Linked DNA regions of Cricetulus griseus. The protein of the gene in region 1 interacts with the protein of each later gene in a biochemical or structural test. Links are inferred from orthologs where the notes say so. Each region holds a gene or a part of one and is shown in the gene's direction. Other genes may lie near its edges. The genes, in order: Drap1 and Dr1.

The links.
Region 2: the proteins of Drap1 (region 1) and Dr1 form a complex in vitro, tested with the Homo sapiens proteins (2 studies listed by BioGRID). The link is inferred for Cricetulus griseus from reciprocal best matches to the Homo sapiens genes DRAP1 and DR1.

Annotation. Positions count from the first base shown.
Region 1 is NC_048596.1:53,907,766-53,923,850, forward strand, and holds Drap1 (dr1-associated corepressor), read left to right. Parts: upstream 1-6,971; 5' UTR 6,972-7,177; coding exon 7,178-7,219; intron 7,220-7,459; coding exon 7,460-7,532; intron 7,533-7,619; coding exon 7,620-7,713; intron 7,714-8,003; coding exon 8,004-8,141; intron 8,142-8,221; coding exon 8,222-8,336; intron 8,337-8,520; coding exon 8,521-8,609; intron 8,610-8,958; coding exon 8,959-9,064; 3' UTR 9,065-9,169; downstream 9,170-16,085. Other genes in the region: CUNH11orf68 (UPF0696 protein C11orf68 homolog), read right to left, coding at 5,205-5,961, 6,614-6,735. UniProt on the Homo sapiens protein: The association of the DR1/DRAP1 heterodimer with TBP results in a functional repression of both activated and basal transcription of class II genes.
Region 2 is NC_048600.1:2,987,149-3,002,574, forward strand, and holds Dr1 (protein Dr1), read left to right. Parts: upstream 1-59; 5' UTR 60-623; coding exon 624-843; intron 844-5,890; coding exon 5,891-6,054; intron 6,055-8,096; coding exon 8,097-8,243; 3' UTR 8,244-10,036; downstream 10,037-15,426. UniProt on the Homo sapiens protein: The association of the DR1/DRAP1 heterodimer with TBP results in a functional repression of both activated and basal transcription of class II genes.

The DNA of each region.
Region 1 (16,085 bases):
GCTAGAGGCTAGAGAGATGGCACAAAGGAGTTAAGCACTGGCTACTCTTCCAGAAGACTCGGGTTTGATTCTAAGCACCCACATAGTAGATCACAACCATCTATAACTCCAGTACCAGGGGATTCAGTATCCTCTTCTGGTCTACCTTGGTGCCACGAACATATATGGCAGGCACACAGACATACACACAGGAACAACACCCATACACATAAAATTATTTTTAAGATAAAAGAACTAAGTGGAGCTTAGATGAGACAATGTAGGCAAATGTTGAACACAGTGTCTGGCTCTTAACAAGGAAGGACCAGAGTGTAAGGAAGTTGAGGACTGCAAACAGAGGATGGCTTTCATGCAACCACCCAGTATTCAAGAACATTATTTGAGCTGAATGTGGAGGTGCGCACTTTTAGTCCCAGCACTTGGGAGGCAGAGGCAGGAGGATCTCTGAATTCGAGGCCAGCCTGGTCTACAAAGTGACAGCCAGGGCTACACAGAGAAATCTTGCCGGGCGGCGGTGGCGCACGCCTTTAATCCCAGCACTCGGCACTCGGGAGGCAGAGGCAGGAGGATCTCTGTGAGTTCGAGTCCAACCTGGTCTACAAGAGCTAGTTCCAGGACAGCCTCCAAAGCCACAGAGAAACCCTGTTGAGGGAGGAATGAAGAAGAAACCCACAGGAACAGTTGACCTGAACAAGGGAGAGCACATGGACCCCAGATGCTGTCAGGGAGACCAGTACAAGACTGATCCTGACCCCTGAACATGGATGTCAATAAGGAGGCCTCTGCACTCCAGGGAGCCTCTGATGATGGATTAGTATTTTTCCCTGGTGCAAGAAGGGACTTTGAGAGTTCATCCCACGTGAAGGGTTACACTCTGGTCCTGGACACATGGGGAAGGGCCCAGGACCAGCACAAGAAGATTTGGTGGACTTTGCAGAGCCCCCATTGAGGGCCCTACCCTGCCTGGGGAGTGGTGGGTGGATGGGGTGGGGGGTTGGGGTGGGGGAGGAGGGTTGGGGGTGAGGGGAGGGAGAGGGAGAAGGGACTTGAAATAAGCTTGTTCCCTAACTAGAACTAATAAAAAAAAAAAAGAAACCCTGTCGAAAAAACAAAAAAAAAAAAAAGAAATCCTATCCTAAACTCCCCAACCCCCAAAGAACATTATTTGTTGCTTGCACCAGGCTTGACTCTGAGTTGGGTGCTGAAGATGCCCTGAGGATAAACCACAGTCACTGTCCTTGAGAGTTCCCAGACAGATGAGAGCCACAAGTAGAACACGGTTGGGGAGCTAGTGGGTTTGAGATGTACCATTAGCTAGGAGAATTGGTATCAGGCATGCGATTAGAGGCTATCCATCAACAAATGCACCAAAGTGAGAAAGGCCAGAATGTGGGGGAAAAAAGCCATATCCATATTCTAAAGCAAAAATGAAAACAGGAGGGATTTGCATGAGCTGGTTCTGAGGCAATTGCTTCTTTCATTTAATAATCTCTGAAGAGGGTTATTCTGGGCTGGAAGCTGAAATGTTGACACCGCCCTGCCTTAGTCTGGGTCTGTGGTTTGGGGATCAGCAGGGGACAGCTAACAACCAGGTGATTGCTAAGTAACTGATGGTTCTGTGTTCAGACAGAAGGAAGGCCTGAGGCCCCATGCTCTTGCAAAGGTGATGGAGGATGTGCCAGTTGGCTTCAGTGAGTGGAGACAGATGTGCCGAAGGACTGCTGAGACAGCTGCTGAGGACCTGGCCCATGCCAGCTCAGGAGAGCAGACCTTGTTCCTCGTTGCTGTAGAGAACCACAGGCCTTTCAGTAGGAATGTGAGCATCTCTACAGAGGGATCTGTGGATCTGGCTGGGGGTGGGGACAGAGAAGGAGATGTGGGGTGGAGGAGCCAAGTTAGTGGCCGTTGTCATAGTTTGGGAGATACTGAGGAAGGGCAAGGGGCCAGGCAGAGCCAAAGAGATAGAGGAGGGATGTGTCACGCTTTGTTCGGGAAGAAAACCTGGGCTGTCCTTACCATGTGGTGAGAACACAAGACTTTGCTGGGATGACACACCCCTGCCTAGGGAAAGTTGGCCCACTTTTGTCAAGTGCAAAGCATAGACAATCAGGCAGGCAGGGCACCTGGCTCTGACTCTGAGCTCTGGGGACTTCCCAGATTTGGGCTGAGGTGGATTCAGTACTGGGGAAACTCAGGGTAGGGAGGAAGCTGGGGAGGGGGGTTAAGCCAATGTCTCATGACTCAGCCACTTCCACCCAGTCAGCCCAGTGGCATCTCCGCTCCTCTGCTCCAAATTCCAACTTGATGAGGCTGCTGCAGGCTGAGTCAGCGCTGGCATGGCACGAGAGCAACATCTCAAGGGGCTCTCTGCCAACACTCCTAAGCCCCAACTAAGGCCAGGCCAGGCACTGGTTTGGGGAGACAGGGTGATGCAGAAGCCAGGCCCCTGAGGCTACACAGCTGTGCAGAAGAGGATGGTCAGATCATGTGTGTCCATGCTCTGTGGGTTGTGAAGGTGTCTCTCTGGGTCAAGAACCACACTCTGACTGAGGATGAGGGAGGGATCTGAGGCAAGTCCCAGCTCTGCTCACTCACTGAATCACCCTGCATTATACTTTCTCTTCTTGGTCTCAACCCCCCTCCCTTTTTTTGATAAGTCTTGTAGCTCCAGTTGTTTGGAACTTGCTATGTAACACCAAGCTGGCCTCTAACTCCCAGAGATCTGCCTGCCTCTGCCTCCTGGGTCCTGGGATTAAAGTTGTCCACCACACCTGGTGGTAATTCCTTGACAGCAGGATGGGGTCAGCATCTCCTTAATGAGGTCATGAGAACTGAGTGATGCATGTGGAGGTAGGTGCTTTGTAACCATGGACATTTAGGCTATTCCAGCCCAGGGGCCTGAAATCCAGCCCATCTCTGCTTACAAAACTGTGACTAGCCTGGAACTGCAGAACTGAGAGAGTGTTTTTAAGTCCTGAAGCATGCACATGGTGGTTCAGACCTGTAATCCTAGCACTCAAGAAGCTGTGGCAGGAAGAGCACAACTGTGAGACCAGATTGTGCTATACTGTTCCAAAAATGCCAAGTCTGTGGGACAGAGGGACTGTGGATGTAGCTCAGTTGGCAGAATGTTTAGCAGGCACTAAATCCCAGGTTTAATCTTGGTCACTGCAGAAACCTGGGTAGCACTAAACTGGGTGTGATGGTGCACACTTGTAATCCCAACACTCCAGTGTAGGTAGAGGATCATAAATTCAAGACGAACATGCCTTTAAACCAAGAACATGGGAGGCAGCAGCAGCAATTGAGTCCAAGGCCAGATTGGTCTACACAGCCAATTCCAGGCCAGCCAGAGCCATATAATGAAACCCTGTTTTTAAAAACAAAAAGATAGCAGGGCGGTGGTGGCACAAACCTTTAATCCCAGCACTCCAGAGGCAGAGGCAGGCAGATCTCTGTGAGTTCAAGGCCAGCCTGGTATACAAAGCTACTCACAGAAGCCTTGACTCGAGGAAAAAAAAACAAAAAACAAAACAACTGAGATAGCTTACTAGATAAAGGTACTTGCCTGACCAGAGTTGAATCCTTGGGACCCACACTGTTAAGAACTGACTTCTCCAAGTTGTTCTCTGACCTCCAAATGTGTACATGGGACAAACTAGTCTCTACATCCACCCAAAAAGTAAATTTATATTTTATCGGTTTTAATAGTTTGTAAAGATTCATTTTTGTGTATGGGTGGGTGTTTTGCCTGTATGTATGTCTCTGTACCATGTGTGCAGTGTCTGCAGAGACCAGAAGAGGGCATCTTATCCCTGGAACTGTAGTTGGAGATGTTACTAGCCATTACGAGAATGCTGGGAAATTAAATGTACTGTCCTCTGGAAGAGTAATCAGTGCTCTTAAGTGCCTAGAAAAGTCCCCAGCCTCTTAACCCTGTCCCTGCTCCCCTGAGCTCAAAGAGATCTACCTGCCTCTGCCTCCCAAGTGCTGGGAATAAAGGCTATGAACCTTTTTTTGTTTGTTTTTTAAAGACAGAGTCTGTTATGTAGCCCAGGCTGTCCTGGAACTCAATATGCAGACCAGGCTGGCGTTGAATTCAAGAGATCCACCAGTCTCTGGCTCCCCAGTGATGGGATTAAAGGCATGTGCCACCGCGAACATAATTTTTTAAAAACCTAAAAGTTGGGGATACAGGCCTTTAAACCCTGCACTTTGGGAGGCAGAGACAAATGGATTTCTGAGTCAGAGGCCAGTTTGGTCTACACAGTGAGTTCCAGACCAGCCAGGACTACATAGTAAGACCCCCACCTCAATAAAACTTAAAAGTCTAAAACAAATACAAAGGTCAAAGAGTAGCCCCCTTGCGCCTTCCTGGAAAGACCTACAAAACTAGTTCTGATCCATGGGTTACAGGAGATCAGCTTTGTAGAGGTTCTCAGAAATGAAACCGCCTCAGCAGTGAAACACACCATCTTCATTGCTGAGGGAGGAAGACAAAGAAAGCCTGGTCAGGTCAGAGACACTTGCCTCTTCTGGCCCTGCCTTTCCTGGGAGCCAAAGCAGGCAACCATCAGGACAGTATTAAAAAAAAAAAAACCTCAAGACACAGACCCAAGCTGGGTTTTATTGAAATGCCAGGAGCAGGCACACGTCAAGGTAGTCAGGGAGGGGATGTTGGTGATGCGGGCTATGAGTTTGCAGGGAGGAGCAGGCCCTATGTCCATGACCCTGCATCCTCTCTTGGCCAGACATATATAGGCCCCAACAGCATGCTCAGTCCTGTAGGGGCCCTGCCACCTGGGCTACAATATCACCAAGGGCAGGGACTGGAAGCACTAAGTTTTCTCCCTTATGAAGGAGGAAAGAAAAGGAAGATGCAGGTTGAGTATAGTAGGGGACAGAGGTGACCAGGGCAGGCTTTCTTGAGCATCTGCACCCAAGCTGTGGTCCTGGGCAGTGGCGGGGAGCAGCATCAAAGAGGGCGGCTGAGGGCCCGGCCCTCAGGGAGCCAAAGCCCCCAGCCTGTGGGGGCTGGAGTCAACCCGGCACAGAGAGAAGTTCAAAGGGACCGAGTACAGGCAGTTCCCAAATCAATCAGTCCTCAGAGCTAGGGAGTTTGGCCTTCTTGGGACAAGGAAGAGAAGAAAGAAGGATCCATCCCCAGCAGGAGAGCAAAAGTTGTTCTCTCCCATGTGGCCCCACTAGGTCAGTTCTACATTGTTGGCACGGTCCAGCACTCGAGAGCCACGGGCATTGCCTCCAAGCTGGAAACGGCTCTCATAGAGAGTGGGGCAAAGGTGCCAGCGGTTGGCTCGGTAGATGCCCAGGTAGGTGTAGACATCAGGTTTGTAAGTGAGCAAGCACTTAATGCCCGCAGCACGGATGGCAGAATCTGCCTCCAGCACTCCCAAGCGGTCCGTGAAGTCGTCCGTGTAAACACAGATGACCTGGCGCCCACCCTCCTTGGCCCGTGGGCTCACCTTGGCCACCTGAAGACGGCCCTCAACTACAGCCCTGGCAATGCCAGCCCAGGCATGGTCCAGCTTGAAGCCAGGTGCCAAGTGAATCAGCCACTTGCCAGAGAGCACATGGTGGGTGATAGCCAGCTGGCGCAGGGTACCTGGCGTGATGGGCCGCCCACTGGTCTGCAGAGCCTCCCAGGCTGCCTGCAGCCCTTGAACATCCCCTGAGTTGGGGGTGTAACCCTGCCCATAGGCTGCAATCCAACCCACAGGTTCAGAGTTGGGTGAACCCGGGTCCCCATAGCGAGTAACTTGAGATGGTGGGTACTTGGCCAACCAGGCATCCAGCTCTGAGGCAGGTGTAGTACGGGCATCAAATACCAGCCAGGGGTCCATGTCGGCTGCCATGGCCTCTGCAGCCAGGTGCTCAGCAGTGAAGCCATCCTCACGGCCACCGGGAGAGTCCTCCTCTTCCAACTCCTCATTTGGTTCCATCCTGTTGTGAGGGAACTGAGTCATTGGAGGTTTGAGAAAGTAGGTACAAAGTGCTGGGTCCTGGAGGGTGCCAGGCACTGCTAAACTGTGTGGCCTTGGGCAAGACTTAATATCTGTGCCTCAGTTGCTTCACGTTCACGATGGGATAACAACTGATCCTGCCTAGATTTGTCTCCTAGAATAAAATGCCTGAGGTGGAGTCGCTATTGTTAGTACTACTTGCACTGCTTACAAACAAGGAAACTGAAACTTTATAGAGAAAAAAGGTCACACCTATAGTGAGTGAACAGCTGAAGTGTGAATTGGCTACTCTGCCACACCTCTTGACTAGAGACCAGCAGGTAGCATGGCTCTGCGATTTAAGCAATATAGGCAAAACGCAGGTTTGTTTGCCAACCCTAAAAGGTGGCTGTGGAGGGCCAGGCCTCCTCGGTCATCTATTTGGGGCCCATTTAAAGACCGAGACACTGAGGCCTAGAGAGGGCAGGACAGCGGCCCACTGCGGTCAATGGGCGCCACCCAGACTCGAACCTCATCTGGATGGAGCCCGCGGGAGGGCCAGGCTCAGTCCTACCACACCCGCCGCCATTAGTGCCCACAGCCTACGGGTTGCCCCCACCCCGGGGCTGTCCCTCTCGCCGCCCCGCAGTCACCTTCGGCCTTCGCTCCGTTCCGCACCAACCCAACTTCGGGCCCGGCTCCGTTCCTGCCCGGGGTCCGCGCCGCCACCCGCGCCGCGCCCCGCCCCTGCCACGGCCGCCGCCGCCGCCGCCATCTTAGGGTCCCGCCACCTCAACAACAACTTTATAGACAAACGCAGTCACGGGGCGGGGCCAGAGGCGGAACCAGCCGCGTGGGGGCGGGGCTCCATGAAAAGGGGCGGGCTGCGTCAGGGGCGTGGCCAGCGCGAGACCCCTGGGAGGAGCCGGCCTGCAGGGGGCGGGGCCAACGTTCGTACTTCTAGCTTGGGGGCGGGTGGGCGTGGCGGGCGAGCCCTGAGAAGGACGCGCTCCGCCTCCGAGGCTCCAAAAGCGGAGCGCCTGGGTCTGGGGAGCTGCTTTTCGACGGGCGGCGCTAGGACCCTGCGGGTAGCGGCGGGGGCGGAGCAGGCGGCAGCAGGACCCGAGGGGACCGCGGCGGGCCGGCGGCGAACAGGCCCCGAGCCGGTAGGCTGCGGGCGGCGGCGCTGGGCCCGGCGCGGCGAGAGAGGCCCCGAGATGCCAAGCAAGAAGAAGAAGTACAACGCGCGGTTTCCGCCGGTGAGCACGTGGCTGGGCCGGGCCTCAGCGGGCCGGGCTCCCGGGAGGCTCGGGCCCAGGTCCTGCTGGGGGTGGGGGTGCGGGTGCCCTTAGGTGTTCGCGGCCTGAAGCCCCGCCCCCTCCGTGCTCGCCTGGCGTGGTGCCTCCCGCCCCCTTCTCTCGGGGTGCCCCTTTGCTGCCCCCAGCCTCCTGCAGGGACGCCGGCGGCCGCGTCCGAGCTCTGCCCCCTTCCTTCGGCAGGCGCGGATCAAGAAGATCATGCAGACGGACGAAGAGATTGGGAAGGTGGCGGCTGCAGTGCCTGTCATCATCTGTATCCTGCTAGGGGGCTGGCTGGGCTGAGGGGCGTCGGGCGGGACTTCGGCACTCCGCTTCTCGGGTTCTCCTTGACGCCCCTCAGCGCGGGCGCTCGAACTCTTCCTGGAGTCCCTGTTGAAGAAGGCTTGCCAGGTGACCCAGTCTCGAAATGCCAAAACCATGACCACGTCCCACCTGTGAGTGGCCAGTGGCCGCAGAGCTGGGAAGGGCTTATGAGGAGGCAGTGTCCTGACTGGGGAGTGGTGCAAGGCTGAGTGAGTTTGAGCCAGTTTGGTGGGTTTGGACTGATGTAGGAGGGATTAGGTGTTCCAGGTGGAGGGAATAACGAGAGCCAAGCCCTCGAGGCCGGGTGGAAGTGGGGAGGGGAGTTTATCATTTTCCAGTGTCATGACAAGAAAAGGCTGTTTCTGTCCTTCCGGAAGTGTTTGGGACCCCTTTGAACGCCTTTCTTTCTCACTTCTTCCAGGAAGCAGTGCATTGAGCTGGAGCAGCAGTTTGACTTCTTGAAAGACTTGGTGGCATCCGTGCCTGACATGCAAGGGGATGGCGAAGACAACCACATGGATGGGGACAAGGGTCCTCGAAGGTGGGTAGCCAAGACCAGGTATATAGGTGGGAAAGGCCAAGGCCTCGAGGGTTGGGGGTGGCAGGGGGGTGAACAGGAGGAGAGAGTCCTCTGGGCAGATGGACTGCACCTTCCCGAAGGGGCCGGAAACCAGGCAGCAGTGGCAGGAAGAATGGAGGCACCGGAAGTAAAGCCAAAGACAAGAAGCTGTCTGGGACAGACTCAGAACAGGAGGTGAGTGAGGCCAGCTTGGTCGGGAAAGGCAGCCTGCACCTATCCTTATCTATGACCTTTTGTACCTCTGTCTCCATGTATACATTTTGAAGGCCTATCTATCCCTGCGCTCCTAGGGTCTGGGCTCCCCAACCATGGGCCCAGGCCTTCTCTCATGAACCCTGACCCCTTGCTGTGCTCACAGGAAGAGTCCGAGGACACTGATACTGATGGAGAAGAAGAGACACCACAGCCTCCACCCCAAGCCAGTCACCCCCCTGCCCCCTTTCAGAGGTATTCAGCCCAGGGACACCAGAAGGGGACATGCCAAACTTCCCAGAGCCAATTTTCACTTCCCTAGCCACTTGGTGGTGGTAGTAGTGATGATTGATGGTGGAGGCTCACTTAGGGAGTGGGAATGTTGTGAGGTCTTGTTCCCACTGTAGTTGGGAAGAAAACCTGGACAGTGCTATTCTCTGGGCCCTTTTCTCCTGTGTGTGTTGGGGGGGACAACACTTGGCTCCTGTGACATAATGGGTGATTTATACCACATCTGGTTCTGGAGCATGGTGGCAGGGCCTGTGGGTTGGGCACAGCACGGCACAGTAGCATGCCCTGATTTTCTCCATTTTCTGCCCTGCAGCCCTCCAGCCCCCTTCATGCCCTTCACCTCTCCTCTGCCTTTGCCCCCAGCGCCCCCTGGCCCCTCAGCACCTGATGCAGAGGATGAAGAGGACTATGACTCCTAGCATTCACTGCCCCTGACCCCAGGCCACATACCCCTTTTAGTTAGTATTAGTTGCTCTGGGGAGAAGATTAAATTTATTAAAAAAAAGAAAGAAAGAAAAGAAAGAGGATTTTGGTTTCTTTTCCGTCCTTGTCCAGGGATTCGTGGCTGCATTCTTACTGCCAACCTACTTACCTCCCCACATGGGGCAGCCAGGGACAACAGTGGGCCAACCAGTACCTGAGTAAAAAGTGGGGAGTCTGGGTACTACCAGGAGCACTGAAGAAAGGAAGGTGGTCTAGGGACTGAGCGGCCACATGCTGGAAGTGCTAAAGGTTAACCTTTCATTGTGCTGTGGAGCCTTGGGCAGCCTTCTCTGGGCTGCTGAGAGAGGATAGATGGGATCAGTACTGAGATTGGGCCTTGAAAACTATAGAGCTCTGCAACCAGTGCAGTGAAGGGCTCAGCACAGTGAAGAGTCGGGTAGATGAGATAGCAGGGGGACTGGGAAGCAGCTTTGGAGCCAGGCAGTCTGCCTACCTGTGTTTGAGTAGGCTGGGCAGCCTCAGTGCCAAAGGCAAGAGGTGTAGCTTCAAGAAGCTGCAATCATGAGTAAAGCAGGGGACATGGCCATGTGGGGTTCCTGAACCCCCCAAAAAAAAACCTCGAGGGAGATTGTAGGTCCATCTGCTAACAAGCTCACTGGCTTCCTCCTAATGGGGGTGTTGAGGGAACCTTGGGGACATGCTAGGTGTGTGGATGAGGATGGTGGTGGCTGGGGAGGCCCAGGCCTGTGTGACCTTAGGCTTGAAGGCAGGCTTCAGAGGTCTAAGGGAGAGTTTCTGTAAGTACCTCTTCTAGCTTTCTTTAGCTCTTTGGCAAGGGAGGGACTTTTTCAGCTGAGGGACACAGGAGGAAAAGACAAGATCTCAAGTTTGGCCATGATGAATTTGGGGTGCTCTGGAGGTCACTGAAGGAAGTGTGGATTGGTGATGTTGACATGGGCACCCAGAGACAGGTATATGAACTTGGAAGGGAAGGCAAGACACAGGAGCTGCCACACCCTGAGCTGTCCCGATGGTCTGGTAGAAGGGAAAGGACAGTTGTCAGATGCTTTGGGCAAGGAAGAATCCCCAAAGAGGATTCTTAATGTCTGCTTCAGTAGTTACTGAGGGGGAGGGAGCTGAAGCCATGCTGGGGCTGAGGAAGGACTACAGGAATGTAAAATGTGTACTATGTGTATGGGTAACTTAATGCCTGCATGAACAGAGGACAGAAGAGGGCTTTGAATCCCCTGGAACTAGTTACATATGGTTGTCAGCCACTTTGTGGGTCCTGGTGAACCCTGGTTGTTTGGAAGAGCATGCTGAGCCATGTCTCCAGCCCCCTTCTTTTTAAGATGGCAAAAGGTTTGGATAGGATGAGAGGCACTTGCCTAACACTCACAAAGCCCTGGCACTGCAAAAAAAAAAAAAAAGAAAAGAAAAGATTTTAAAATGACAGAATCTTAGATATTCAGAGAGTATGGGGCACGGGACAGGAGGGGGACATCAGAACATGGGGGAGAGAGGATAGGGAGGGGGTTTGAAGTGAGCATTGAGGAGCAGTAGCTTAATGGAGACTGTGAGGCAGGATGCAGTCACCTGTGCTGTGTGAGAGAAGACCACAGGCTAGGGCAGGGTTTAGGACTTGAGACATAGCAATGGTTGGATGCTGGAGACAGACCTGTAAGGGTGCTCCTGTGACTGCTCCACCCCAACCTGAGGTGTGGGCAGCTGGCCCCACAATTGAATAGACATAGAACATCCTGGTGAGTCGGTGCCACAATTGGGCCACAGTGACTGCTGTAGGGTTGGCGTTGATCGTCAGCACACCTGAGCTGGTGATGCTGGTAACCTGCCCACTCCAGCGGTTGAGAGACACGTGTGGGCACTGAACCCTGAGGACACTGGTGCCTGGTGTGCCTGCATTTCCTAGTCACATGAGCCAGGGCTTCCTCCCACTCCTTACCATCTATGCCTGAAAGAATTCTCCGGGTAGCATGGGGATTGTAAGGTGTGTGTGTTTTAGCTGCAGATGGAGGCAAACAAATGGGACACCATAGCACAGGCCATGCCTAGCAGGAGGGAGTGGAGTTAGAAGAGGGAGAGACCGCAAGAGCCTGTCAAGTAAAAGCCATCCAAGGAGTTGGTAGCTGCTCATCTACTCCATTGCCATGCGCGCGTGCGTGCGTGCGTGCGTGTGTGTGTGTGTGTCAAAAAAAAAAAAAAAACAACAGTGAAAAAGATGGAGGACGGGGCTGGGTGTTGGTGGCCCACACCTTCAATCCCAGCACTCAGGAGGCAAGAGGATCTCTATGAGTGCAAGGCCAGCCTGGTTTACACAGCAAGTATGAGACCAGCTAGAGTCACATAGTGAGACCTCACCTCAAAAACATGAGTCTTTGTTACAACAGATAAACCTTTTATAGATCATGGAAAGCAAAAAAGCAAAACACATACATTGGGTGATGTAATGCATTTAAATAAGGTTTTAACAGGGCTGGAGAGATAGCTCAGCGGTTAGGAGCGCCGACTGCTCTTCCAGAGAGCCTGAGTTCAATTCCCAGCAAACACATGGTGGCTTACAACCATCTGTTATGAGATCTGGTGCCCTCTTCTGGTGTGCAGATATATATGGAAGCAGAATGTTGTATACATAACAAATAAAATCTTTTTTAAAAAATAAGGTTTTAACAAATAAAAATTAAGAGGCCAGGGATGGCAGCACATGCCTATAACACTTGCCCTTGGACAGAGACAGGAGAATCCCAAGTTCAAGGCCACTGGGCTATACAATTTTGAGGCAGCCTGGCTGGGCTATAAACTAAGAGGCTATTCAAAAAAGTTCAGGGACTGGCTGGGCGCTGGTGGTGCACACCTTTAATCTCAGCACTCGGGAGGCAGAGGCAGGCAGATCTCTGTGAGTTCCAGGTCAGTCTGGTCTCCAGAGCCGAGTTCCAGGACAAGTGCCAAAGCAGAGAAACCCTGACTGAAAAAACCAAACCAAATGAAACAAAACTAGAAAGGGTAGATGGGCTGCTGAGAGTAACGGGTGAAGGGAAGTCTGGGGCCAGCAGTGGGAGTATTTCTGTCTTTAAAGTTCGGATAGTAAGAGCTTCTCCTTTAGGGATGTATGCAATTTGACACCTGAAGTTCCTGTCATGGAACCTGGCACAGCACATAGTGTGTGTCACCCATGGTGTGACAGTTAATCTTGACTGTCAACTTGGTGGAATTTAGGTCACCATGGAAACAAACATGAGCATATCTTAGATTAGGTTGAGGTGGAAGACCCACTGGAAATGTGGACAGCACCAACCCGTGGTTGAGGTACTGAACTTAGTAAAATGGGGAAGCCAATTGAGCATCAGCATCCATCTCTGCCGACTGTGGCTGCAATGTGACCAGCCACCTAACACTCCTGCCACCATGACTCCCCAGTCCTGTTACACTGTGCCCCAAAACTGTGAGCAAAAACAAACCCCAAACTACTCTTGTCAGGCATTTTGTGCTTGCAACAGGTGATTAGTGTACCCGTGCATGGACATCAGTGCCTGGAACCAGATCAGAAAAGCATGAGGGATACTCTGGGAGGCAGGGAAGAGGAAATTCAGTTTTCAGGGTTCTGTTAGCCCATTTAGTCCAACCCCCAAGACATCACCGTCATTTAAAAGTTAAAATTAATGTGCTTTATCTGCATGTGTGCCTGTGGGTCACTTGGTAGTGAACTGCCATGTGGGTGCTGGGAATCAAACATGGGTCCTCTGTCCTCTGATAGAGCAGCCAGTGCTTTATCTGCTGCGCTCTCTCCAGCCTATTGTCCTTTAGAATGAGTTAAAAATGATTTATTCTGTTTGGTTTGGGTTGGGTTGGTTTTCAGAGACAGGGTCTCTCTACATAGCCCTGGCTGTCCTGTAACTCAGGACAGGCTGGCCTCCAACTCGGAGATCTTCCTGCCTCTGCTTACTGGGTGCTGAGATTAAAGGTGTGTGCCACCACCATCCTGCCTTATTTTGTGACCTTTTAGAATGAGTTAAACATACCCTCCTATACAGGCAGGGTGCTCAGTGTTGCCTTCTTTCAGTCACTCAGTGTATTTGCTGAGCACCTACTTGGTGTACCTGCCCAGCTCCTGTTCCTAGAGGTGAATCAGGAGACTGTCCTGCTTGTATGACAGATGGCTTTGACAGGACTGAGGAGCAGAGCTTAACATCTGGTGTCTGGTGTCAAGTACTGGGCAAGAAGAGTCTCGAGGACTGGAGTGAGAGAGAGAGAGACCTCCCAAGTCCATCCTTTGTCCTAGGGACTCAAGGAAACTGTTGGTGAAGGGCCCAGGTGCCAGTTCCCGGGGCTGAGGCAGTGGTCCTTGCTTCCAGCCACAGGTTCTACCTTAGCCACTATCTAACTTGGTGTCCAGTATTGGATTTGCTTTCCTTCCTGATTTCTTAGACTTGTCTTTTATGTACACCACACTTCAAAAAAACAAATAATTAAACTATGTAGCACTGCCTGGCCTGGAACTTGCTATGTTGACTAAGCTGGCCTCCTCAGAGCCCTGCTGACCTCTGCCTGCCCCCACCTTTTGCTGTTGTGAATAAAGCTACTCTGAACATTGTGTGGGTAGAGTCTCTGCTTTTGTTCTTTTGCTACATTTGCATGCTAAGTGAAATAGCTAGATAACACGGTGTGGTGGTTTGAATGACAATAACCCCCACAGGCTCATAGATTTTAATGATTTAGTTACCAGTTGGTGGACTCTTTAGGAATGATTAGGAGGTATGGTCTTGTTGGAGCAGGTGTTGTCACTTGGGGGTCCCACACCAGGCCCAGTCTCGCCAGCACTCTCTCTCTCTCTCTCTCTCTCTCTCTCTCTCTCTCTCTCTCTCTCTCTCTCTCTCTCTCTCCTCTCTGCTTGAGGATCAGGATGTAAGTTCTCAGATACTCTAACACCAGTCCTACTTGCCTCCTGCTGCAGTCCCTGCCATGATGGCCATGCTAACTCTCTGAAACTGTGAGCAAGCCCCCAGTTAAATGCCTTCTTGTTTTTGTTTGTTTTGTTTGTTTGTTTGTTTGTTTTTGGTTTTTCGAGACAGGGTTTCTCTTTGTAGCTTTGGAGCCTATCCTGGCACTCGCTCTGGAGACCAGGCTGGCCTCGAACTCACAGAGATCCACCTGCCTCTGCCTCCCGAGTGCTGGGATTAAAGGCATGCGCCACCAACGCCCAACCAAATGCCTTCTTTTATAAATCGCCTTGGTCATGGTGTCTCTTCATGGCAATAGAACAGTAACTAAGACACATGGTTATTCTATATCTAATTAACCTAATTAATTATATTTATTTTTTATGTGTATGAGTGTTTTGCCTGCATGTCTGGGCTTCAGAGGTCAGAGAGGGCTCTGGATCCTCTGGAACTCGAGTTACAGAAGGTTGTGAGCCCTCCTGTGCTGGGAACCAAACCCAGGACCTTTCAAAGGCAGACACTGCTTCTAATCACTGAGCCATCCCTCCAGTCTCCCTCTCCACCCCACCCCACCCCCTTTTTTTTTTTTTTTTTTTGAGACAGTGTCTTCTCATAGCTCAGGTTGGCTTCAAACTTACTATGTAGCCAAGGGTGATATTGAACTTCTGATGTTCCTGCCCACTTCCTGAGTGATGACATTACAGGTGTGCCTCACCATACCAGGCTAAGGGATCTTACTGCTGTGCCCTTCTTTCTATTGTGTTGATCTTTGTGTTGTTTTTCTTTAAGGTTTGTCCTTATGCTAGTTCCATGCTGTCTGACTACGGAAGCTTTTTTTTTTTTTTTGAGACAGGGTTACTCTTTGTAGCCCTGGCTGCCCTGGAACTCTGTTCTGTAGATCAGGCAGGCTGGCCTTGATCCGTCTGCCTCTGCCTCCTGAATTCTGGGATTAAAGGCACTACTGGAGCAGGGCATTGGTGGCGCAAGCCTTTAATCCCAGCACTCGGGAAGCAGAGGCAGTCGGATCTCTGTGAGTTCGAGACTAGCCTGGTCTACAAGAGCTAGTTCCAGGACAGACTCCAGAGAAACCCTGTCTCGAAAAACCAAAAAAAAAAAAAAAAAAAAAAAAAAAGGCACTGCTGGGCTGACTGAAGCTTTTACCAAAACTTTCAGATCAGAAAATGTAAAATATGTCACCTGATATTTTTAAAAAAGATGTATTTAATGTATAAGCATGCTCTATCTGCATGCATGCCTGCACACACAAGAGGACACCAGATTTCATTACAGATGGCTGTGAGCCACCATGTGATTGCTTGAAATTGAACTCAGGATCTCTGGGAGAGTAGCCAGTGCTCTTAATTTCTGAGCCATCTCTCCAGCCACCACCCCCACACCCATATGTTTTTGTTTCAAGACTGTTTGGCTATATCCTGGGTATCCTGTCCTTTGAGTTTCAATATGAATTTTAAGGTCAGCTTATCAAGACCTGGAAGGATAACTGAGATGTTGGGGTTTTTTTTGTTTTTGTTTTTGTTTTTCCTTATTTATTTGTGGGGGGAGGGCAGCATGCACAGGTGTGGAGATCAGGACAATTTGAGAGACTCAGATCTCTCTGTTACCCTGTGGGTTCCTGGGATGGAGTCTGAGTCATCAGGCTTGTCTGCCAGTGCCTTTATCTATGGAGCCATCTCACCAGCCCCCAATGGAGGCTTTGACAGGGACTTGGAAGAATTGTTTTGTGGAGAGTGCTACTCTCTGGGATTGTTTTAGGGACAGATGATTTTCCTTCTGGTTAAGAATTACATTTTTGTCTGGTGTGGTGGTGCCTGCCTTTAACCAGCACCCCAGAGGCAGAGGCACATCAATCTATGAGTTCTAGGCCAGCCTGGCCTACAACAGCTTCCAGGCCAGACAGGGCTTCACAGTGAGACCCTGTCTGAAAGCACCTGAGTTACCTGAAAGGAGCAGTTTTCAGCCTGTGCACTGCCTGCAGGCTGTGCAGTGAGCTCCAGGATCCCAGCTTTCGTGAGTGGCTTCC
Region 2 (15,426 bases), on another chromosome or scaffold:
AGGAGTGAGGGTGGGACCCGGGGAGCGCGACTTCCGGTGGCGCAGAGCGTGCTGGGACCGCTTGCGGCCAGCCTCCCTCACCGGCCTGTATCGAGACCACCGTTAGCGCCGCTGGGGCTTCCTCGGCCCGCTCCGGCCCAGGCGGTCGCGCCCGCCGTTGCCGCGACTCGGGCGGCTTCCGGCGCCGTCCGCTCTCGTCCCGGGCCGCCGGCGCTCCCAGCCGCGGCCTCGGCAGACATGTTGTGAGGCGGGCGCGGGCGGGGGCCCGGAGGATGGTTCGGCCGAGGCGGCGGCAACCGCTGCTGGTGGCGGCGGCCGCGGGGGCTCCGGCTCTGTAGGGCCGGGCCTGCTGGGTGTCGTGTGAGCCGCCCCGTCGGACCCCAGCGTCGGTCCCGAGGCCCCACGGAGGGTGGCTCTCCGTCCAGCCCCGGGCGCCCTGACCTGTCGCGCAGGCTCGCACTGAGGCACGCGCGCCGTGGGCATTCCCGGCCCTGCGACCCGTCCTTCCTCGTTTCCACGCCCTCTCTCCCGAGCTCCCCGACCCCGACACCCCTCCCGGAGCCGCAGCCTTCCAGAGTCGAGGAGTTTTAAAAAGTTGGGGCTCGAAAAGCCAGGAAGGTACGATGGCTTCCTCGTCTGGCAACGACGATGACCTCACTATCCCCAGAGCTGCTATAAATAAGATGATCAAAGAGACTCTCCCTAACGTCCGGGTGGCCAACGACGCCCGAGAACTGGTCGTGAACTGCTGCACTGAATTCATTCACCTTATATCCTCGGAAGCCAACGAGATTTGCAACAAGTCGGAAAAGAAAACGATTTCGCCGGAGCACGTCATACAAGGTAAACCATTGGTGTGGGGCTCGGCTTGAGCGAAGGTCCCAGGCAACAACTTCGCTAACAGTAGGTAGCCACTTGGCGTCACAGAGCCCTTATTCCATTTCACGAGTAAGTACTGTTAATGGAAAAGTCACAAATGGCACAGAGACAGCTTGTCACCTTAAGAAAATACCCGTGTGGCATTCTTGGGACACTTTTTCATCCAGCTAGTATTGCAAATGAGGAATGCAAACGTCCTCAGTACCAACTAGTGCAGGTTGTAGTAAGGTCTTAACGCAACAAGTAAAACGTGGATGGTAACAATCGAGAAAGGAAACAGAAAGTTCTCTCCCAGCAAGTTAAATTTTAGATAGACCTTCAAGCATGAGTTGAGCCAGAGAGAGAGCGCTTTTCCGCACCTGACCCTTTTTACCATAGTGGAGGGAAAGATTCATGTGGAACACAGATCAGTGGCGTCTCGTTTACCTAGCACGAACAGGTCCTGGGTTTGATTGCCAGCACTGAATTTAAAGAAATAAAAAGGAATTAAAGTTTATTGCCTTCCAAAAAGGGAGTCTAATTTTGCTTCTTAAAAAAAACATGGTAAATCCATCATCACCAGGTTACCAAAGTACTCCTGTAATAGAAAGGCAAGTGCCACATTTTTTTCTTTTTGACTCCCTCTGACTTTTGATTGTTTTGTTCTTTGAAAATGTTTGAAAGCTTGTTTTGAAAGTTTTGCAAAAGATGCCGGCACTCCCCGCCCCGCCCAGCCAGTACTGGGCCTTGAACCCAGGGCCTGACACATGCTAGTCAGCACTTCTGAAAGTTTCAGCAGTTTCTTCCTTATCTTGGAAAAAGTTTGCAGTAGGGATTTGGGAGTCTGCATTTTGATGGTTGCAGAGAAGGGGAAAAGTACTTTTAGCAATTTTGGAGGAAGTGCTCTCTGTGGCTTTTCATGCAATCTAACAGAAAGTCAAATTCAGTTTGAGACAATAACTTCTATTTTGTAATAATCTAACATTTCGTGTTTACTTCTGAAGTTAAGAAAACAAATTTAATCAAACAATGCAGGTAGTTTATCATTGCCCTTTTATAATTTAACTTTAAATTTTTTTTACTTTCAATTTCCTGTTAAGGTGAAGTGGACAGCACATCTGTCCACTTCAGATTGACCATATCCATTTTTCCACTGTCAGAATTGACAAAGATCAAATGATTAATTTTGAGCCTTTATCCTGTGCTGAAGGTAGATTTAAAGTACACCCTGCTGTGTTTAAGTTGTCTCTTAAGGCTGAATACTTATCATGCCAGAAGTCAATCCTAGTAAGGAGTAGAGCCACAAGATGTGTGTATGTACATATACACATGTATATGTATATAAATAATTGTATTACATACACGTGTACTCTGCCATTTCAGTACATTGTAGGTAACCCCTTAAAAAAGCAATGTTTGGTTTTGTTGTTTTTTGTTTTGTTTTGTTTTTGTTTTTTCAGGGTTAGAAGCAGGATGCTAACAGGATCTTACTGTGTAGGCTAGCCTAGATCTGTATGCAAGGTCCTCTTCCCTCAGTCTCTTGAACACTGAGATTATGGGCATGCTGAGATCACCATTCCCTGCTGCTTATTTGATTATTTGTGTGTATGTTAAATTTAGGGCCTTAAATATGCTAGACAAGCACTGTACTACAGAGCTGTGTTCCCAACCCACCATTTTGAATCTCGAAACTGCCCCCCCCCCCCCTTACTGGTTTGGTTTGGTTTGCTGAGTGGTAAGAAAAATGGAAGCCTGTTATCTGTTTTTATTTTTACGTTTTATATATATGATTGTTGTCCTAAATCTTTGAGAAGATTATCTAACAAATAGCTAAAATTCTTAAAGGAAAAGACATCACTTTTTAATGAAAACTGCAAAGGATTTCAGTAGGATCTGCCTAAACATTTGTTGGTACCACGAAAGTGATGATTGTTCCAAAAATCTAATAACAATCTGTCTTCTTGGGGGAAGGTTCATTTTTGTTTCCTAGGATATAGTTAGAGCTCTGATTGAATAAAAGTATAGCTGTAGCAAGTGATGTGCTAATAGTTCAACTTTGGAATATGCTAACTTCAGTTTAGTACATGACTCAGAAAGCTAACAGTGGATGGCTATTTGCTGTGATGATGGCGATCTACTGATGTTAAAAAACTGAATTGACCTGTTGGCACTTAAAATTTACCTTTTTCTTGTAGTGTTGCCATTAAGTATGTAAGAGGGGCTGGAGAGAGGACTCAGCAGTTAAGACCATTGACTGCTCTTCAGAGGACTCGGATATAATTCCCAGCACCCACATGATGGCTCATAAGTGTCTGCAACTCCAGTTCTAGGGGACCCCACACACAGGCAAAACACCCAATGCAGCCAGGTGGTGGTGGTGGCTTACGCCTTGAGGCAGGTGGATCTCTGTGAAGCCAACCTGGTCTACAGAGTTCCAGACCAGTCAGGACTACACAAAGAAACCCTGTCTCAAAAAAAAAAAATTATGTAAGAATTTCTATAGTTTTCCCCCAATTAGTATAAATTTTATGCATTTGTAATTTCATATATGTCTTAAGGATGTTTTTTTTTGTCCGGTTTTGGCTTTGGTTTTTTCGAGACAGGATTTCTCTGTATAGACTGTGCTGATCTTGAACTCGGAGATCAGCATGCCTTTGCCTCCCTAGTGCTTTTTTTTTTTAATTGAAATTTATTTATTTTATAAAATACATCAGAATTTTATTGCTTGGAGAATACAGCATATGAAATCACAAGAACATCAAAATGAAAAGTCACTAGGCTTCAAACACAGAATACATTACCAGATGCAGTAAAATATTAATTAACTTGAAGTCCCTAGTGCTTTTTAAAATAGTTTTATTTTCTTGTATGTGAATGTTTTTCTTGCCTGTGTGACTGTGCATTGCCCACCAAGGAGGGTATTGGATCCTCTAGAACTGGAGTTACAGGTGGTGGTGAAGCACCGTGTGGGTGCTGGGAATTGAACCCAGGTCCTTTGGAAGGACAGTCGGTGCTCTTAACCTGAGCTATCTTTCCAATCTCCAGATTTCCACTTTTTTTTTTGGGGGGGGGGTTTCGAGACAGGGTTTCTCTGTGTAGCTTGGAGCCTATCCTGACACTTGCTCTGGAGACCAGGCTGGCCTCGAACTCACAGAGATTCACCTGCCTCTGCCTCCCAAGTGCTGGGATTAAAGGCGTGCACCACCAACACCAGGCCAGATTTCCACTCTTAACTGTTACAAACAACAACCATTGTAACAAACTCTGGCACAAGTACTTGAACAGTACTTTGAGTAGCTTTGTTCTAAAGCCTAAACTGTAATGTATTTGGAAAGTGGATATGAAGTAACTTTTGAAATCAGAGAAACTGAGTGATTTGCAAAGAAGTTACAGAAAATAAGAATGGTACATGCTGTGTTACCTAAATAATACCAATATTTGAAATTTGCATTGTAAACTATTACATGATTGGTTGCTTTTTACAGCAGGATTTTTTGGTTTTTCGAGACAGGGTTTCTCTGTGTAGCTTTAGAGCCTATCATGGCACTCACTCTGGAGACCAGGCTGGCCTCGAACTCACAGAGATCCGCCTGCCTCTGCCTCCCGAGTGCTGGGTTTAAAGGCGTGTGCCACCAACGCCCGGCTATAAGTCTGTCAGTTTCTTAAAGAATACAAAAAAGGGCAAATATTTGGAATTTACTGGTTAATGACATAGTTTGTCCCATTACAAAAAAGTAGTCTAGGAACACATACATATTCATTAAGTTACAGAAAGATAGGATGAAAGAATAGTTAAGTTTTTCTTTCCTCCAGTATACCAACAGAGAGTGTGGTAATACACGAGTGTCCCTATGCTGAGGAGGCTGAAGTAGGTGTCTGGGCTATTGAGATTCAAGAAGAAAAAATGTGCAGGTCCCTTTAAAGTACACAAATCAGCCTTCCCAGCAGTGATGGCCTCCCTGCAGGAACATGCTTCTGGCCAAAGATTTTCATTCCTCTCTAGAAGACCAGAGGAAACAAAACAACAAAAACCAGCTGTTGCAGAGCCCCAGCGCCTACTTCACAGATATGAAATGCCCAGAGTACACCAGTCTTTCTCATGTGCTGGCTGCTCCACTGGTCTCTCTGTCAGCCTGCGGGAGGCAGAAAAGAAGGCTGACAAAAGGGGCTGTTTCAGGAAGCAGCAGCACTAAAAGCAGGTACCTCAGTTAACCTGGGTAAGGATCAGCCTAACCAATACATTTTGGGTTAAAAACAACATACAAATCTTTATTCTCCAGTTCCGTATTTGTAGGCGGGAAGAATGTCACATTTTTCACTTAAAATTCAGCAAGATAATATAGGTCAAAGTAGATTCTTGCCTCACTGGACGGGCATGAAGACCCCTGACAAGCATGACAAGCATGGCATAGTACTCCCAGAAAACTAGGAAACACTTCAGGACTGAGAATTGTCTATTTCTCTAATCTAACCAGTTTCTAGCACAATGCTAAATGCTTGGTAATATTCAGTAAGCAAGTGTGGGTCAGTGGGAGAAAACAAAAGCCTCGGGCGGTGGGCGTGGTGAACTTGCCTAACAAGCAAGAGGCTCTGGGTTCAATTTCTACTAGCATTAAAAAAAAATCATTTTAGCCGGGCGTTGGTGGCACACGCCTTTAATCCCAGCACTCGGGAGGCAGAGGAGTGGGATCTCTGAGTTCCGAGGCCAGCCTGGTCTCCAGAGTGAGTGCCAGGATAGGCTCCAAAGCTACACAGAGAAACCCTGTCTCGAAAAACAAAACAAAAAATTAAAGAGGGAAAAATTAAGGCCTGTGCCTTGAAATGTTCCATTAGCTTTCATGCTATAGATGAGCATGGGGTTGGAGAGCAAAAGTAAAACTTAAAGAATAATGGTTGATTAAAAATATCTTGTCTTAACCACCCAGTAGTTACTAAATAACTGCCTCCCAAGAGGAAACTAACACAAAAAAGTAAATGTTTCCTAAGTGAGAGAGAGCCATAGTTTTCACCTTTCACATTTTCATTTCTGTAGCACTAGAAAGTTTGGGCTTTGGCTCTTACATCAGTGAAGTAAAAGAAGTCTTACAAGAATGCAAGACAGTAGCACTAAAAAGAAGAAAGGCCAGTTCTCGTTTGGAAAACCTTGGCATTCCTGAAGAAGAATTGTTGAGACAGCAACAGGAATTATTTGCAAAAGTAAGTAATATGCTTTAAATTATTTTCATTGGAAATTGACCAAAAAGTCACTTCAGAGGATTCTTCCTCCAGCTCATTGCTTGTTACAGAGTCTAATGTTTAGAACTTGACAAGTTTGACTCTGGTTCATGTAAAAACAACCAGTTTTCTTTCTTTTCTTTTCTTTTCTTTTCTTTCCTCCTTCCCTCCCTCCCTCCCTCCCTCCCTCCCTCCCCTCCCTCCCCCCCCTCTCTCTCTCTCTTTCTTTCTTTCTTCAGAGTTTCTTTGTGTAGTCCTGGAACTCAATCTGTAGACCAGGTTGGCCTCACCTTCCTCTGCCTTCTGAGTGCTGAGGTTAAAAGGCTTGTGCCACCACCACCCAGCTGCTACTAGATTTTATTGAGTGGAATACAAGGAAAATCTGGTAACATTTTCTTTGTAGCAAGGTATCAACCTGTAAAGCTGGTTTTGAATTTAATAGGAATTGTACCACCAAGTGTCACTGCATTTGAGCCTTAAACATTAAGCACAAGATACAAGTACTGTTTAATAATAGGGGCTAGAAAGAGTTCTAGTTAAGAATGCATACTGCTCTTCCAGAGGACCTGAATTCAGTTCCCAGCACTCAACATTGGGAGGCTCCGAGAAGATCCAACACCTTTGCCCTTTGAGGGTGCCAGTACTCATATGCACCTATCCCCTACAGATCCACACACATACATAAATAAAATGACAAAATCTTAAACTAATAAAAATGTTTCCAATATTTACTGAGTTCTAACCATTTGTTAATGATATTACCAAGCAATTTGTATATATTAGCTCATTTAATTCTCTCTTGTGCTTTCATACTTTAGCAAATATACCTGTTCTTCGGAGATCTGAGTTTGGTGCCACTTGATTGTTCCTTAGACAAGTTTTCATTGTTCCACACTCTTCTTTTGTTCCCAAATTAGACTGGTGACTGCTGCTTGTAGTTGACATCACCTAGTGTCTTAGTGTCCTTTTGCTTTTTCAGTTGCTTCCTAGTGTCTTAGTGTCCTTTTGCTTTTTCAGTTGCTTGTTATCAGTTTTATGTTTGGTTAACAGTCTTTTTTCTTCTTTAAATTAGTTCTTAGAACTAATGTTAATTCTCTCTCCTGAAAACACCTTGACTCATGCAGGAAGGAGAAAATGGTATTTCAGTTTGACTTTAAATATTTATATATTAGTAAGTGAAAATTAGGAAATTCCAAATAGACTAAGTATAAAGAAAGACAATAAAATGTAAAAGTATAGCATACATTTGAGAAACATTTTATGCTCTGGGATTTCTTTTGCACCATGAGGGTATAGAATTATAATAGGAACTCAGAAGAAAATATCAGGGTAGCTGTTGTATTTGCTATTTCCTAATTGTACTGGAGACCTTTTAAGCCATAATTATGTTCATATTAAAATTATAATTGAATGGACAGAAAAGAAAAACACAGCAAGAAGAGCCAAAGAGTTACTAATGTTACCCCCCCCCAGCAATTTTTTTTTTTTTTTTTTTTTTGGTAGCCCTGGCTGTCCTCAAACTCTCTCTGTAGACCAGGTTGGCTTTGAACTCACATCTGCCTGCCTGTGCCTCCCAAGTGCTGGGACTAAAGGCATGTTCTACTGCCTGGCTCTATCAACCTTTTTTAAAAATACATATTTATTTTTATATTATGTGCATGAGTGTTTTGCCTGCATGCAAGTCTATGTAGCACATGTGTGCATTGCTTGCAGAGTCCAGAAGAGGATGTTGGAGTCCTTGGAACTGGAGTTTTAACAGATAGTGTGAGCTGCCATGTGGGTGCTAAGAATTAAACCCAGATCCTCTGAAGAGCAGCATGTGCTTTTAACTGCTGAGCCATCTCTCCAGTCCCTCTGTTTACCTTTTCAGTTTCTTCAACTGAACTAAAAATATTAAGAGTTCTTGTTTTCTAGATATGTCATAGTTAAAGAGTACTTGGAAAATATCTACATTTGATAATAAGTCTGTTAGTTACACTTAACCACAATGTGTACACTTGCTTCTTTGTGTTTTTAATTCTTAGGCTAGACAGCAGCAAGCAGAATTGGCTCAGCAGGAATGGCTTCAAATGCAGCAAGCCGCCCAACAAGCCCAGCTGGCTGCAGCCTCAGCCAGTGCATCCAATCAGGCAGGGTCTTCTCAAGACGAAGAAGATGATGACGACATCTGAAATTCACCATCTTGGCTTTTGTTTCCTCTGTAAGAAAACAGTGAAAGAAGTGCTTCTCTGTAACTGTATATGCATCTCGGTGGACTTACCATTGGTATTCTAGAGTCGTCTGCTGTTCAGGTTTCAACTACTCTGCTATACTTGTAAAACTGTCTCTTTGAACTATTGAAAATTTGAGGTTCAGTGTAAGATCAGCTTTGAATTTGTAATGGTGTTTCTGGAATCGAAGAGCAGTGTGAACCCTTTATTTGGTCAGTGAACAGTATTACAGAAAGCATCAGGTTATAAAAATACAGTGACATTTACACAGATCTCTTCATCTGTATTTGCATCTTCTCTGCCCTTTTAACTGAACTAAAACTGAGAATTTTATATTGAGATGAGGCATGGTGTGAGGCAGAATACTTTGAATCAGGTTGGTGGAAAAAGTTCAGTTCTGTATAGTACTTAAATGTTTTTGTCTTTTAAACTGAGTGTATATGCAGGCAACAATTATATATGCTCAGATAAATAAATATACTTGCTAAGAGAAAAACTCAAAGAAGACATTCAAAAACTAAGAAGGAAATGTATTCACTGGTAGTTGTATAAATTTGATGAGTTATGTTTTTGATTTTGTTACTCTTTTGTGTATCAGTAAAAACTAGTTTTATTATAGTATAATTTATCTACACTATGCCATTTCAGAGACTGGCTAATCTTGAAGATTGTCATGATTCTTACTATTTCACTCCAGTTCAGTAAAATTGTTCATAGTATTACTTGCTTCAGTCATTCATGTTTATGTCGTTTGAGTATATAGGTAGGACTTGTGAAACAGTTGCTTGGGTTCCGTTGGTTTAACTGAGGCTCATGGATATTCAGACCTTTGCTAAGGGAAATAAATGAAAGCTAATGAATATGATTGCTATGAAAGAGGGCTTTAAAAATATTATTTAACATGTAGTTTACTTATTGTTTGGTTTTAGCATAACATTTACATTTTCTTGACTAGGTGGCCTAAAGAGCCCAGTGCTAACTTTTGATATGACATCATTGTCCCCATCATCATAATTGAGTGATAGCTTTAAAAGTTTTGTGTTTGATTAAAAAGTGTCATAACTGACCAGCCCTATATGAAGTGTTAACTTGCTGTTAAAAGTGAGCAGCTTTAATTTGGCTTCAGTGACTAAAGTATGGTAGTGTTTGTGAGAGGGTTCCAATGTAATTGCAGAAATTGTGTAAATGCCACCTAAGGTAATAGGAAGTCATTAAGTTCCTGTGTCAGTTGCCAAGTCATTTAAACTTCTGTATTCACCAAGCCCCAAGAGATTCTAGCTGCCAGGATTTTAATTTTATTTGGAGAGCTAAGTAAAGTTTATAAGTATTAGATTTCTTAATATTCATATTTTGCAGTTTTAGAAAAAGGGAAATATTGTTATGCATTTATCAGATAGATATACTTCCCCAGTATAACAGAAAAGGTAGTAAAAGAGTAGTAATTTTTCTGAATGCTTTATGTTGAAGTTATTTCAAGGTATTTCATGGATATGCCCATGAAATGAAGTGTTTGGAAAAAATAGAAGGAATCTTTTTTTCTTTTTTCAAAAAGGTTAAGTACCAAAGGTAGGTAGGTAGTTTAGTCTACAAAAATAAGTTAGTCACTGTTGGCTTTTCTAATTTGTACTGTAACATTCTTTTACTTTGTTTTAAGTGTATGTTTCTCAAGTAAACAACTTAGGTATTTTTCCATACCTTTTTCTTTCTGATGCAGACTTCAGGTTAATTAATATTTTACTGCATCGGGTAATGTATTCTGTGTTTGAAGCCTAGTGACTTTTCATTTTGATGTTCTTGTGATTTCATATGCTGTATTCTCCAAGCAATAAAATTCTGATGTGTTTTATAAATTGTTTTTGTATTTAATAATTATGGGACAGTCTCTGTTACCCTTTTCGATACTTTTGACATTGATTGGTTATTTAGTATGTAGTACCCCTTTCTCATTACTGCTGTTTCAGAAAACATAGTTTACCTTCTTTTTGTAGTGTCCAGATAGAGGCACAACAGAGCACATTAAGCAGCACCTTGTTTTAGCATTTAAAAGTCAGAGTTATTTGTTTCTCTAGTCATGAGAATGGGTTAGTCTTAGGAAATAAAATCCCTACTTTTTGTTTTGTTTTGGTTTTTGGTTTTTGTGTTTTTCTTGTTTTTTCGAGACAGGGTTTCTCTGTGGCTATGGAGGCTGCCCTGGAACTAGCTTTTGTAGACCAGGCTGGTCTCAAACTCACAGAGATCCGCCTGCCTCTGCCTCCCGAGTGTGTGCGCCACCAACGCCCGGGTAAATCCCTACTTTTTGAGGTATAAAGTTACTTAATAAATATTTTCCCATCACAATACATATTTTTCCAACAGGCTGTAAAATTGTTATATTAAAAAGTACTTTTTTTTTTTTTTTTTTTTAAGACAAGATCTTGCTCTGCAGGTCTGGCTGTCCTGAGAGTGGCAATCTGCTTTCCAAGTTTCAGGGTTGTACATGTGTACCACCACATATAGCCAACAGGGAACCTATTTCTAAAACTTTGTATACCATATATACAGGAGAGGGCACAGATTAAAGTTTTGCAAACCAAACATAGTCTTCAGATAAGAACAGGACATTATGAATACCTTCAAAGTTCTTGTTCCTGTCTGTCTCTCTCTTTTTTATTTCATTTTATTTTATTATTATTATTATTATTTGGTTTTTAGAGGCAAGGTTTCTCTGTGTGGCTTTGTAGATCAGGCTGGCTTCGAACTCACAGAGATCTCTCTGCCTCTGTCTCCCTAGTGCTGGGATTAAAGGTGTGTGCCACCACCCAGGCCCTCTTTTTTAATGTGTTTGTATAGGTGATTTCCCTACAGGTATGTCTGTGTCACACTTGTTTCTGGATCCTTAGAACAGTTACAGAAAGTTGTGAGACACCATGTGGATGCTAGGAATCAAATCCAGGCCCTCTGGGAGAGCAGCCACCTCTCTAGCCCCACAGCTTTCTTTTTCTTTTCTTTTTAGACATGGCCTCACTGTATAGCCCAGGGTGGACTTGCACTTACAAAAGGCCTATTTGCATCTGCCCCTCAACTGCTGGGATTAAGGACATGTACCACCCTGCCTGGCTCTCAACAGTCCTCTCCTTTTCAGAGCTATAAATTATTTTTGCCTTGAAAAAAAATTCTAGGTGAATGCAGCCATATATAATCTCTTTTTTGTTTTCCATTTTTGTGATTGTAACCTTTTATCTGTAACAAGTACTTAATGACTTAAAACAACACATATTTATTCTGTTACAATCCTACAGATCTGAAATCTTAGTCAGTTTCATTATCCCAAATGACGGAGTCTGCAGGACTGGTTCCTTCCTCAGGGTTAGATTTGATGCCTTACCACCTTCTACTGGCTTCCTTATGCTTTACCTTCTTCCATGTCAAAAGCCCGTTTTTTGTCACCACACTGTTTTCTTTTTATAGTCAGGTCTTCCTCTACCTCTGTATATTCCAAGGTGATTTTCCAGTCACAAGGTCATTTAATTACATATTTAAAGTCTTGTTTCCCAGATAAAGCGATATTCAAGGTTCTAGAGATGAGGACCTGGGATGTCCTTGTTCAACCTCTCAAAGTAAAAATTTACCCATATTGTTGATGTAGTTGTTTCATTCTTTTTTTTTTTTTTTTTGGTCTTTTCGAGACAGGGTTTCTCTGTAGCCTTGGAGCCTATCCTGGAACTAGCTCTTGTAGACCAGGCTGGTCTCGAACTCACAGAGATCCACCTGCCTCTGCCTCCTGAGTGCTGGGATTAAAGGCGTACGCGCCACCAACGCCCGGCTTAGTTGTTTCATTCTTAAATTGCTATACAGTATTTTTCCATTTAAAAAAAATAAAGGTCTTACAGAATTTATGTTAGGGCAGTCCAGTTTGTAATTCTAATCAATTAAAAATAGTGCTGTGGAGAACATTCTTGTCTTTTGGTGACTTCCGTACACTACCATTGAGTATATCTAGGAATGGAAGTACTGAACACAACTTGTGCATATTTCAGTTTAATATGTATTGTCATATGGTTTGCAGAGTGCTTCTACTTAGGTACCATTTAAAGTATACTTTAGTAATTAGTTGTCCTGTAATGGTTTAGCAGCCTAAGAGTATTTCTCAAAATACCTAAATTATAAATAAGTGAATTATACTTCTAAAGCAGGTCTTTGTTATTTACCATCATGTAAGAGGAAAATAAAAGCAAAAGTGAGCTGGAGAGGTAGCTCAGCAGTTAAAAGCCCTGATTGCTTTGGCAGAGAACCTCCATTCATTCCCAGCACTCACACGGTGGTTCACAGCCAACATTAGCTACTGTTCCAGTGGGTCTGATTTCCTGACCTCCTTGGGTACCAGGCGTGCCAGTGGTGCAAATAATGCGTGCATGCATGCATGCATGCATGCATACATACATACACACATTCAGGCAAAACATTAATACACATAAAAATAAAGTGGATACATCTTATTTAAAAAAAAAAAAAAAAAGCAAAAGCAGCTGATAAAATGGCTGGTTAAAAGCAAGTGCCGTGAAAGGCTGACATCCAATCCCTGGAGCCTATGGAAGGTGGAGGGAGAGAATTGACTGTTCAGAGCAGATTATGACTGGAGGTGATGGCGCACACCTTTAATCCCAGCACTCAGGAGGCAGAGGCAGATGGATCTGAGTCCAGCCTGGTCTACACAGTGAGTTCCAGAACAGCCTCCAAAAGCTACAGAGAAACCCTGTCTTGAAAAAACAAAAACGAAATTGAAATTATTTAAGGCATTCTTATTGGCATAGAAGTATTAAGCACTCATATTATTCTCAAAAGGAAAGCAAATATTAGGTATTTAAATGGTATTTTGAATTGTAGAAAACTGTAACTTAATTTCTTAAATTTTTTAACTTTAAATACACAGCCATTTCCTCATATTGGGCTCTAAATGATACCTAACCAACCCAAATGACCATCAGAAAGAATTAATCCAAATAGCAAAGATACTTTTTTGCTTTTGAATCTTTGTCTCTAGGTTTTTGGCTGTAAATCCCAGTCAATTCCCTACCCTTTCTTTCTACTGTGCTCTGGCCCACAGACTAAGAATGGTTCAGGTGAAGAGCTATAGCCAAATAAGTGGCCTTCTAATACTCAGGTCAGCACTGGTCTCTAATTTTTCCAGCCTGCATATTTTCTGGTTCTATGAAAGTGAGATAATCATGTAATTTATCAAGAAACTGGAAGCTAGTTGTATTTCAAGAAGGACAGAATTAGATGACAAAATTGCTGAGAGGGCTGGAAGGGAAAAAAGTCATAGGATCACCCAGGAGCTGCTGCTTCTCTCGGAGCCTGTTGTCATTTGCAAAATGCAAATCATAAAGGAACCCATACTACCCATGATTTTAACAAGACTGTGCTCCTTTGGGTCCACACTATGAGGAGCCACTGTTAAGCCACTGCCCAGGTAGAGAATCCAACTGTTCAACAAATTGATGTGACAGTCTGCTGGCATTCCTCCCTGAATGCACCACAAGATTGTTTCTTTGTGTTGATAGTCTGGCATTAAGCTGACCCCCACCCCTGACACCTGGCAGGATAAGCACACCAGCATTCAGGCAGATACTTAGATGGCTCAAAGGGCCCTGCGTTATGTGGCTGCGTGAGGATGTACGAATGGGCAAGCTTTCCCCTTTAAGCAAGCGCCTTCCACCTGTTCCCCCTCCCATCTCTGTCCCTAGTTGGCCAACACCTACACCTCCTTTTGTTCCCTTTCCCCAAGGGTCATTTAAGGGGTTGTATGGAAATAATACAGTAGAAGCTTACAAAGATATATACTTATAAGTTTTTAAAACTGAACTTCCATAAAGGCCCAAAATGCCACAGAATGAGGAAAGACTATTATCCAACATATAAAAATAAATAAGTACATTTAAAAATAGCCAAGAACTTTCCCAGATATTTCATCAGAGAATGTATGTAGATTCCAAATAACCACATGAGGATATGTGATTGTGAAAATCCAAGTTAAAATGATAATAACTTACTATCACTACTGCTGTGATGACACTGACCAAAAGCAAACGAGCTGAAAGGGTTTATTTGGTTCACACTTCCATGTTCATCGTTGGAGGAAGTCAGGACAGGATCTCAAGCAGAGTAGGAACCTGGAGGCAGGAGCTGCTGCAGAGGCCGTGGAGGGTGCTGCTTCCTGGCTACTCCCTATGGCTTGCTTATCCCAACTTCTTTATAGAACAAATTGTACATGGAATGTAGGCCCTGTGCTCAGGTAAGCACCACAGAAACCAGGGACATTAAACAGAGAGGGTTTTCTCTCCAAAGGGAGAGATGTGTAACTTGTTTTCCTCCCAGAAGGTTGGGAACAGATGTGGTGAGTAGCCTGGTGACCTTTGACTGTCTGTGTAGGAAGGCACACTGGCTCCACAGATCCTTATCTTGAGCTTGCTTCCTCAGTTAATCTACAGAGCTCATTTTCTTTATGGGAGATGTTACTTGGACCTTACAAAGTTTCAGTGTAGTTATGTCTTAAGCTTTGTTGTGTTCCTTAAGAAAAATGTCTGCTCATCCACAGCTAAACACTGATCTGAACTGGAATCCAGTTGCAGAGAGGGAGGAGTGATGAGCAAAGGGGTCCATACCAGGCAGGTGAAACCCACAGAAACAGCTGACCTGAACAAGGGGGAGCTCTTGACCCCCAGACTGATAGCTGGGAAACCAGCATGGGACTGATCCAGACCCCCTGAATGTGGGTGTCAGTGAGGAGACCTCGGAAATCTATGAGGCCTCTTGTACTTAATCTCTAGCATAGGAATGGAGTTTGGGAGCCCATTCCACATAGAGGGATACTCCCTGAGCCAAGACCCAAGACACACGGGGGTTGGCCTAGGCCCTATCCCAAACAATATGACAGACTCTGAAGACCGCCTATGGAAGGCCTCACTCTCCCTGGGGAGCAGAAAGGGGATGGGATAGGTAGAGTGTTGGGGGGGGGGGCAGGGAAGGAGGGGAGGGAGAGGGAACTGGTATTGACATGTAAAATAATCTTGTTTCTAATTTAAATTAAAAATGGAGGGAAAAAAAGAAAAGAAAGCTGTCTGCTCTGGGTAATAAAGGAAATATTATAAAAACTACCTCAACATGC